2 linked regions of the Mus musculus genome follow. The protein of the gene in region 2 interacts with the protein of the main gene of each other region in a biochemical or structural test. Links are inferred from orthologs where the notes say so. Each region holds a gene or a part of one and is shown on either strand. Other genes may lie near its edges.

Evidence for each region.
Region 1: the proteins of Trdn (region 2) and Casq2 form a complex in vitro, tested with the Homo sapiens proteins (3 studies listed by BioGRID). The link is inferred for Mus musculus from reciprocal best matches to the Homo sapiens genes TRDN and CASQ2.

The regions. Positions count from the first base shown.
Region 1 is NC_000069.6:102,124,353-102,128,171, reverse strand, and holds part of Casq2 (calsequestrin-2 isoform 2 precursor), read right to left. Parts: intron 1,624-3,819; coding exon 1,493-1,623; intron 232-1,492; coding exon 186-231; intron 1-185. UniProt on the Homo sapiens protein: Calsequestrin is a high-capacity, moderate affinity, calcium-binding protein and thus acts as an internal calcium store in muscle. Calcium ions are bound by clusters of acidic residues at the protein surface, especially at the interface between subunits.
Region 2 is NC_000076.6:33,081,925-33,086,504, reverse strand, and holds the start of Trdn (triadin), read right to left. Parts: upstream 3,023-4,580; 5' UTR 2,782-3,022; coding exon 2,760-2,781; intron 1-2,759. UniProt on the Homo sapiens protein: Contributes to the regulation of lumenal Ca2+ release via the sarcoplasmic reticulum calcium release channels RYR1 and RYR2, a key step in triggering skeletal and heart muscle contraction.

The sequences.
Region 1 (3,819 bases), on a different chromosome or scaffold from region 2:
ACCTAGAAAATAGTACTCAGGAGGATTATACTGGATCCAGGAAAACCTAAGCTTTATATGAACATGAAGCAGTCCGTGTTCCCAATACCACACTCCCTATATATCCACCCCACTCAGAAAGACTTCGTAGTCAGAGGACACCCTTTTTAAGTGACACACACCACAAGACTTTGCCATTTTCTTACCCATGTTTCAAACATGTCCTCTGGGCGCAAGCGACGTAGGGTGGGTCTGAAAAACAAAGGAGTGCCCTTGAGTAAGGTTCACCACTGAAGAAACTAAGCCTCAGCCCATGCAAAGATGGCTTTGGCTTCTCCGCCTAAGCCCAAGGAGCCCTGATTTCATCTCTGCCCACAAGGAAGCAGAGCTTTTCCACCAGCCCTGTCAGGAGAGAGCTAGGCCCAAACCCACTCAGCCCAGTCACAGCCTTCTTAGATCCAAGGCCCACCAAGGGTATGGGGATGGTCAGAGGGAAAAGAGATAGCACCTTCCTAGTGACCTCTCATCATAGATAGAGACCACTCCTGAAAGTCCAGAGCCAACCAAGAACAAGGAAATGGGACAGACAACAATTATTGAAATATAGAATGCCAGTTTTTGTCATCAGGATCATCCATCAGAAACACAATAGATGTCATGTTTACCCTCCCAGCACTGACTCTCTTCAGGGACAAAGACTGTCCAGGCGTAGGGATGGGGTGCTTCAGGCTCAGTGAATACATTTGTCTATGATATGGAGGGAGGAGAGGTGACACAGTGGACCCACTACCATGTTCCATATTCCCAGATAGCTCTTCCCTCCAGAGCAGAGGCAGAGGGCTCCAGCTGGTGGGCCAGCCCAGGCCAAGACCTCTTGTTTGTGTAACTAGACCTCACCACACCCATCTGTTTACACATTGAGCAAGGATGCTTATACGATAGGATCCCAGAGCAGAACAGCTGCAACAAAGGCCATTTGCCCCCAGAACTGTGTAAATATTTACTATGTGGTTCTTCAGTGAAAAAGTTTGTGGATCCCCTGCTGGAGATGCTCTGAGTCTTAGCAAATATCCCTATCCTGGGAGCTATCTGTAGAACGTGTGGAATTGTCCCGGGTTATATTATTTAATTATTGAGACTTATCTCATGGCTGTGACGTTGGGAGAATACCAGCTCCATAGGTTGGAGAATAGCCAAAGTTGCTCCCATAAAGCACCTGGAATGTTGTTCTACCCACAGGAGGTTGTCGCTGAAAGTATAGAGTTTCATCTGTATCTTACTCTGGCTTGGGGTGGGGTAGGGGTCTGCACTCGAAGGAGGTAGTTTAACCCTACCTGCAAGTGTAGAACCTTATTCAGAAGTGGTAACATCCTTGATACTGGTCAATGATTGACAAAGCCACACTGGCCAGTTTTGTTCTCCTGGGTCTTACTCTAGGTTGTTGCTCTTCGTGGCTCTGGCCTGTCAACACTGACATCCTCCCACCCCATCCTCTACATGTTATCTCAGGTACCTTTGATGTTCCTTCACAAACTCCACAAGCTCCTCTTCTGTGTACGGTTTGTTAGGGATGACGTTGGGCTCATCCATAAATGGCTCATAGAAGCCAACTTCGTTCATCTTCAAGGATAACTTCTTTGCCACCTGTAATAAGCAGAAATCGGATTATCGTTCATTCAAATGCTAGCTTAGAGTAGCAGTGGCCTACCTACCCAAGAGTTGGTGCTTGTGTGCTTTGGTAACAACATGCAAGATTCTGGGCAATTTTAACTTAAATGTTGAAGTAGCAGGGACTTGTATTCCTTGTGGTCTGGGCTGGACTTATCTTTGATCAAAGAAAGCTCAATAGAAAAAGACTCATCTGGAGAGTGAGGGCCTACATGTGTCATGGAGTGGTTGGAATAAAAAGTGGGGAAGGTCAGTGCATGGTTATCTTCCCTCTGCTGTGTTTGCTAAGGCTGGAGGAGCGAGCAGATGGTAAGAGAACATGCTCACTGGGTGGCCTTAACAGAGCTAATTTGGATGGAAAAGGCAATTGATGAAAACCATTAGAGCACATAGGCTCACAGAATCAAAAGCCAATCCATTCACCTGTCTTCTGATTGCTAGTTAAGCTGAAGGGTGGAACCTATTAGGGTTCAGTCTCTGTACCAAGCTTGCTAGGTGTTTTGTTGGGGCCTAATGGCTGTCCAGCTGAAAGATAACTAGCTTTTGCATAGGAGAGAAAGGCTTCCAGGGGCATAGGACTTTCAGTGCTAAACTCTGGGTTGTTCCCAGGAAGCCAGGATGAATGGCTCACTCTATAACTAACCTCAAACAAAGTGCCTATAGCCTGACAGATTGTCTCTTTTGGTTAAAGAGGCCACACACCAATGTGTTGTCAGGGAAGAATGGTTGCTGTGTTTGGCTGCTAAGTTGCTGAGCTCAGGACCTCTCGCTGTGACATGCTTTGAGAGGCCTGGAATGTGCAGGGCTCAATGGGAAGCCAACTGCTCTTCTCTAGCTTGCCCATGGCTCAAGAAAGCACAGGATGGAACAATAGCTCCCTGTAAACTGCACAGCATTGCCTTGGAGCTGACACCTTCTGGTGGCAACCACAGTGTGGTGATCCAGTAACCCAGGGGTTGGGACTAGTAGGGGAGGCATGAGTGTTACATAAGCTCTTACACAAGGAGGTCCACTCACATTTGCAAGGACCATTGCTTGTTATTAATCCCAGGTCAATCTATTCCAAAACAAGCGTTTTCATTCCAACATCCTATGTGGAGTTCATGCAAACAGAGCTCCAGTCAGGCTGGGCCTGTGGAAGCCCAATAACCCCAGCACGAGGAGGGGCTGAGGCAGGAAGATCACAAATTTGACATCAGATTAAACTAGAAATAGTCCAAGGCTAGCTTCATTTATGAAGATCTTGTCTCAAGATAAAAAATTTAAAAGTGGGCTGAAGTGGGATGAAGTTTGGTAGTAAAGACCTGCTTCGTCTGGCATGCATGGGGTTCAGTCCCCAGCGAGAGCGAGAGCGAGAGTGAGAGCGAGAGAGAAGAGAGAGAGGGAGAGGGAGAGGGAGATGGAGAGGGAGTGTCAGGGAGACAAATGACACAGATACAGGCCAGGACCAGTATTGACCCAATCTTTTGTACAGCCACCTCTGGTACAACAAGCTTGAAAATGACAGACTCTTCTCTGAGTTCACTTACACACTCTCTGTTCTAAGAACAGGCTTCTGGGGGATGAGAAATGATTTTTATGAACAGAAACTGTAATACTGTCAAGCACATGGCCTTCTTGCTATGTGCTGGCCACAGCTGTAAAGTGATTAGGTTGCTTCTGCTGTGTGATGCTCACTCTGATTGGATGTGGTCAGAGCTATCTCTGCTCTGTTTTACATACAAAGAACAACTTGGGTGAGCGATTCATCAGGATCATATACAGAGAGATGGGCAGGGCTGCGCTCTCTATTTTCTCATGTCCCAACATCCCTTTTCTTTTGAGAATTCCCTTCTCCGTGACCATGCAAAGAAAAAAGTCTGCAGATATTCTGTAAACACTGCACCAGCAGCAGACATTCTAACGAGATGTTTCTATGTCTTTCTATCACTTGCTCTCAATAATCCATCCCACATCCCGGAAAGTAAATATGACCTCCTAAAAGCAAGAGCTGTTCAGAACCACATGTCAAGCGGCGCGTGCATGCATATGTGTGCACATGTGCCTGTGTCCTCGGATGCCACTGCCTGGGTCTGCAATGCTAAGTCTATGCATGTAAAATTGGATGGTTGAGGCCTTACGTTGTAGTCTGAAAGAACCTACTTAAAGATCTCCAACAATCTCTTGGATCTT
Region 2 (4,580 bases):
AATATACCTAGTGTAGACACCCAAGAGCCACCCAATATCAAACTAACTCTGAGTCTCACACAATGAGAAGGCAGATTCAACTTCACTGTTTTCAGACATGAATTGAAGTTGTATCAGTCCTTGCATAGTTCTTAATCTTCCTAAACCTTAGCTTCAAACTTTATAAATAGCAATAAAACTGTTTCACATCGATGTTGAGAGGGTTAAGTGGGCATTTAAGAAGTCTGATATCTTAAGACTCCAGACAATAAATTGACTCAGTATTATCACTACCATCTTTATCATGGCTAGAATAAAAGTTGTTGTTTCCATAAAGTCCTTTGGGGTTCAACTTTGATTTCTGTTTTACCTAGTGCCTATGCCTGGAACACATTTGACATGGAACATGGTTTTCTTTTTTTTCATTGAATGAATTATCCAAGTTGAAGTATCAATAGAAAAATATATGTGAAAGAGTCAGTAAGTTTGGTAGTTGTGGCATGTATTAGAAGTAAATAAGCCAAGGTGTCAACCTGTGAACTTCCAAAATTAGCAATGGCCAAAGACTTAGAGTTATTATGATACCAGGCATCCAATGAATCACCCTTGTTCTTCCTTGGTCTAAATCTTCAAAATGTTTGCTTTTCATATTCAGTGAGTAAAAGATGAGATAGATAAATGCTATGAGGCTACTCCTGCAGTGTTTATACTTCAGGGATTTGCACAAAAGTGGTGGTAAGTGAAATACAGCAGAAGAAAGAAAAGACAACTGAAGGCTGAAAGAACAATGAGAAACAAGACCTTTACAAAACATCTCTTTAATGAAAGGCAAACAAGAAAGAATGAAGAAAGGTTGTTATAGATGAGAAACAAAGAGTGGGAATCACAAGGTAAAGAAAAAGTGTCAAATCCTTTGGAAAACTGAGGAGACTGACTATGGTAATAACCACAGATAACACAAATTCATTGAGCTGGCAATCTAAGTTTCTCCTGACAAATAAACAGATCATTGCAAAGAAGGAATAAGTACAACACTCATGATCACATGGTAGAGACCCTACCTACTCCGAAGACCAGACTATGGGAAATGATGATTATCCAGAAAATTATATGCTGTGCTCACGTAGTCAACTCAGATTTTCTCAGTTGCTGTTTTATGGGCCCTACCACAGAGGCTTCACAACATCTTCAACTCCCTATGGGTACAAATAATTCTATTTCAAAACAACAGTCCTTTAATAAAACGTGCTATGGATCAAGTGCAAATGCATGTAGGACATGCACTGTAATCAAGGAGCACGATTGGCCAGCAATGTCTGAAATTAGTGGCAGCCTAGGTTCCAAGCACAGGCTGACAGGAATGCCCAGAGGTTTCTTAATACCTTGTACAGGAATAAGCAGAACACTTTTATAGACAGATCTTTTCAAGGCCAACATAAGGGCGACATGACACAGAATGTCCAAAGTATAGAAAAAAAAATTATAATATTATTTACATTCAGTTAGCAAATTCTGAACTAAAACTGGCAAACAGTAAATTTTATATCCTCTAATGGAAAAGAGAAAACACAGGCTGGCTTCAAGGAGCTGATACCCAATCTTGACTACAATTTGGTAATGGGAAGTCATGGAATATCTGAGTAACAGGGTTTTTTGTGTGTGAAATAGACATCAAATTGCTACTTAGTGGAATGGTGTGAGGTCTCACAAACGAAATGTGCATAAGTTTCTAAACAAAATACCTAATAAATGGAAATCTCTCAGTAATATTGTTATTAATTTGTGGTGACAGGCTATCTCTGTAACTAATACAAGCAAGGCATTTTTTTTCCTCACAGATATTGCCTAAATCTTCAGGGAAAATTATTTTCTTTACATAGATTTCTACCCACACAAAAGATAAAACAAATAGATTTCTATTTTACAGTCTCGTTAAAAACAAAATGACATTTAACTTGGAAACTGTCAAAAGTACCACCTGCCTTATGTACTTATTGCTGTCAGAGAGAATGTTAAGCGTATCTTCCATAGTTTTACCTCAACTAAAGCCAGACTGTATTATTTTTAAAGAATTACTTCATTAGTAAGACGGGTGTGAGTGTTTGTAGATTTATTATAAGTGTATAAATAGAAAATATGTTAATATAAATATAAAACACACTACTTATAGAGAAACAAGAAATGAGTTTACAAAATAACTAGATTTCTAAGAGTTAAATGCTTTATTTTTAAAAGTTAGACTTCTCTGACTTTCTGAAATTTCTAACTTTGTCTTTGAGCATTTGTCAATGGTAAAATGACTATGATTCTTCAGGGCACTTCTATCTGCGATGCATATAAGCAAGCTGTGCACCCTAGCTGGAAAGAGAAGACATTTAAGAATTCAAATTTTAAATACTATAAAGAAAAGATGCTCCAGATCATATTTCTAAACTGACACATCACACATAATATTCTGATTTTTTTCCATCTCCATCCTCACATGTCTTATAATTTTTGTCTTAAATTTTTTGCCACCATGTCCTCAGCTATTTATAGAGGTGAGGTGATAACGGAGAGGGTAGTGGGGCCTCTAGCATAGCAGAAAATACTTTCCACACGTAAAATTCCCGATAAATCTCCCCTTGCTCCCTCAAACACACAAATCTGGCAACCGCTCAGCTTCCAATTTCATTTTGCAGATCCTGTGTAGACTCACAGAACTAATTAACTAGAAGCCAGCTGAAGCCTATAGCGTCCCTGAGGCTGTTGATTTACATAATGTCCCCAGGCAACAGTACCTTCAGCAGTGATCTCAGTCATGGTGGGTGCAGAAATCAAGCAGGTGAAGAGTTCCAGTCAAGTGGCACTTTGCAGAATAAGGTAGGATTAGAGAACTCTGGTAGAGGGGTATGACAAGGGCTCTTCCTTTTCCTGGATTTTCTGGCTGATTTTTGTTGTCTTGTTGAACTTTGCCTCTTCTCTGCAGAGTTCTCCCCCTGGAAACAACCTAAGCCCTTTCCAAGCAGTACTTGTGGCTCAGCTAAAAGTATCAGCTTCAAACAAAAATAGCCTCATCTGCCTTGGACTCTTCAGCACTTTTTTTTTTTTTTTTGGCACTCTGGAGGAACACACACACACACACACACACACACACCAACTCTCAAGCCCTAAAGATACAGGCAAATATAAGTAAGTAAATAAATAAAAGCAAATAAATAAAAGAGGAAAACAAAGCCAGAGTATCTAGAAAGTGCTGTCTAAGCCCCCGCAGTGTCTCTGATATAATTACAGATTGGGGATTGGTGTCAGAAAACATAAAATAAAGAGTTGAAAGTAATCTTACCCTAGATAGCTCAGATTTATTCTTAGTGCCTCTAATACTCAGAACATTCCTCTCTCCCTTATTTGGCTAGGGGAGGATCATGTAATGTCTACCACAGGCAGAGGGGAGGGCAGTTGTTAGTAATTTTTCTGTGTTGGTTTGTTGTTGTCCCAAATCCTCTAGTCAAGTGCACTTATATAGGGCTACACTCAGAACTGAAATTTGTAACTCCTGGCCATTCTTTTAAGCTAGTCATGTTGTAAAAAATTAATATTTTTAAATATTAGTCAATAAGAAGCATGTAATGTGACAATAAAAATCAATCTCTGAGAAGTATGCCGTCTCAGGGTTTTATTCCAACACCTTATTAAAAACAAAATATCTGAATTCATTTCAGCAGTGAAAGAAAGAGAAGGTGAAATAAAGTTTAGAAATCCACTGTTCACATTTTAGAAATGGATTTCACCATTTCCCTTTCCGAACTTGAAAGAAAGGAAGAAAAAAAAATCCTAGCAGCAGCTAACAATTAGCTAAATTGCCTGATTAGCATTTCACCTTCCCACTTCTAGACAGGTGTTAATGAGAAGAGAAATATTCAGTAGTTGGTGGTTGGAAGGGGAAGGAGAATCAAAGGGCATTGATGATCATAAACTTTAACCAATCTGAGAATTATCAAGGGCTGGCTTTCCTTATCTTTTATTTTCATCTCACATTCAACTTAATAAAAGCTTGCAGTTTTGTCTCTTTGCCTTAACTCACTGCCATTGGCTGACAGAATCTCTTGAATCTGTAGGCAATTCTTAGTTTACAAAGCACAGCTCTATCTTCTGTTTTAAAATGAGGCTCAGAAGAATGATGTGACAGCTATTTGCATAGACAATGACATCCTACATGTCACCAGCTGTCTTCATTGGCTGCCTCAATTTCATGGCACAACAGAAATTGCATAGAAATCAGCTGAATAAACAAGTCAGAACTCTTAGTTCAGACGGGAGGAAAAGATTCCAGGTAGACTCTTAATGTTATACAGAGCCCACAACTAGCAGCTGGGACTGGACTGAGATGATTAACATTGATTACAGTGCTCATACATTACCTGAGAGCTAATGTCCTCTTGCAGGCAGTACTGATTCCAAATTAAAGGAATCACTGCAAATAAAGACCATCCAAAAGGCAAAATGATGCCTTTGGAATACTGGGTTAATCTAGAAGTGTTCCCTGAAAGCAGAGTTCACCTCACTGTGGTTCTCTCCTGTGGTTATTTGATAACAATAGCTCCCAAAGGCTATGTATTTGA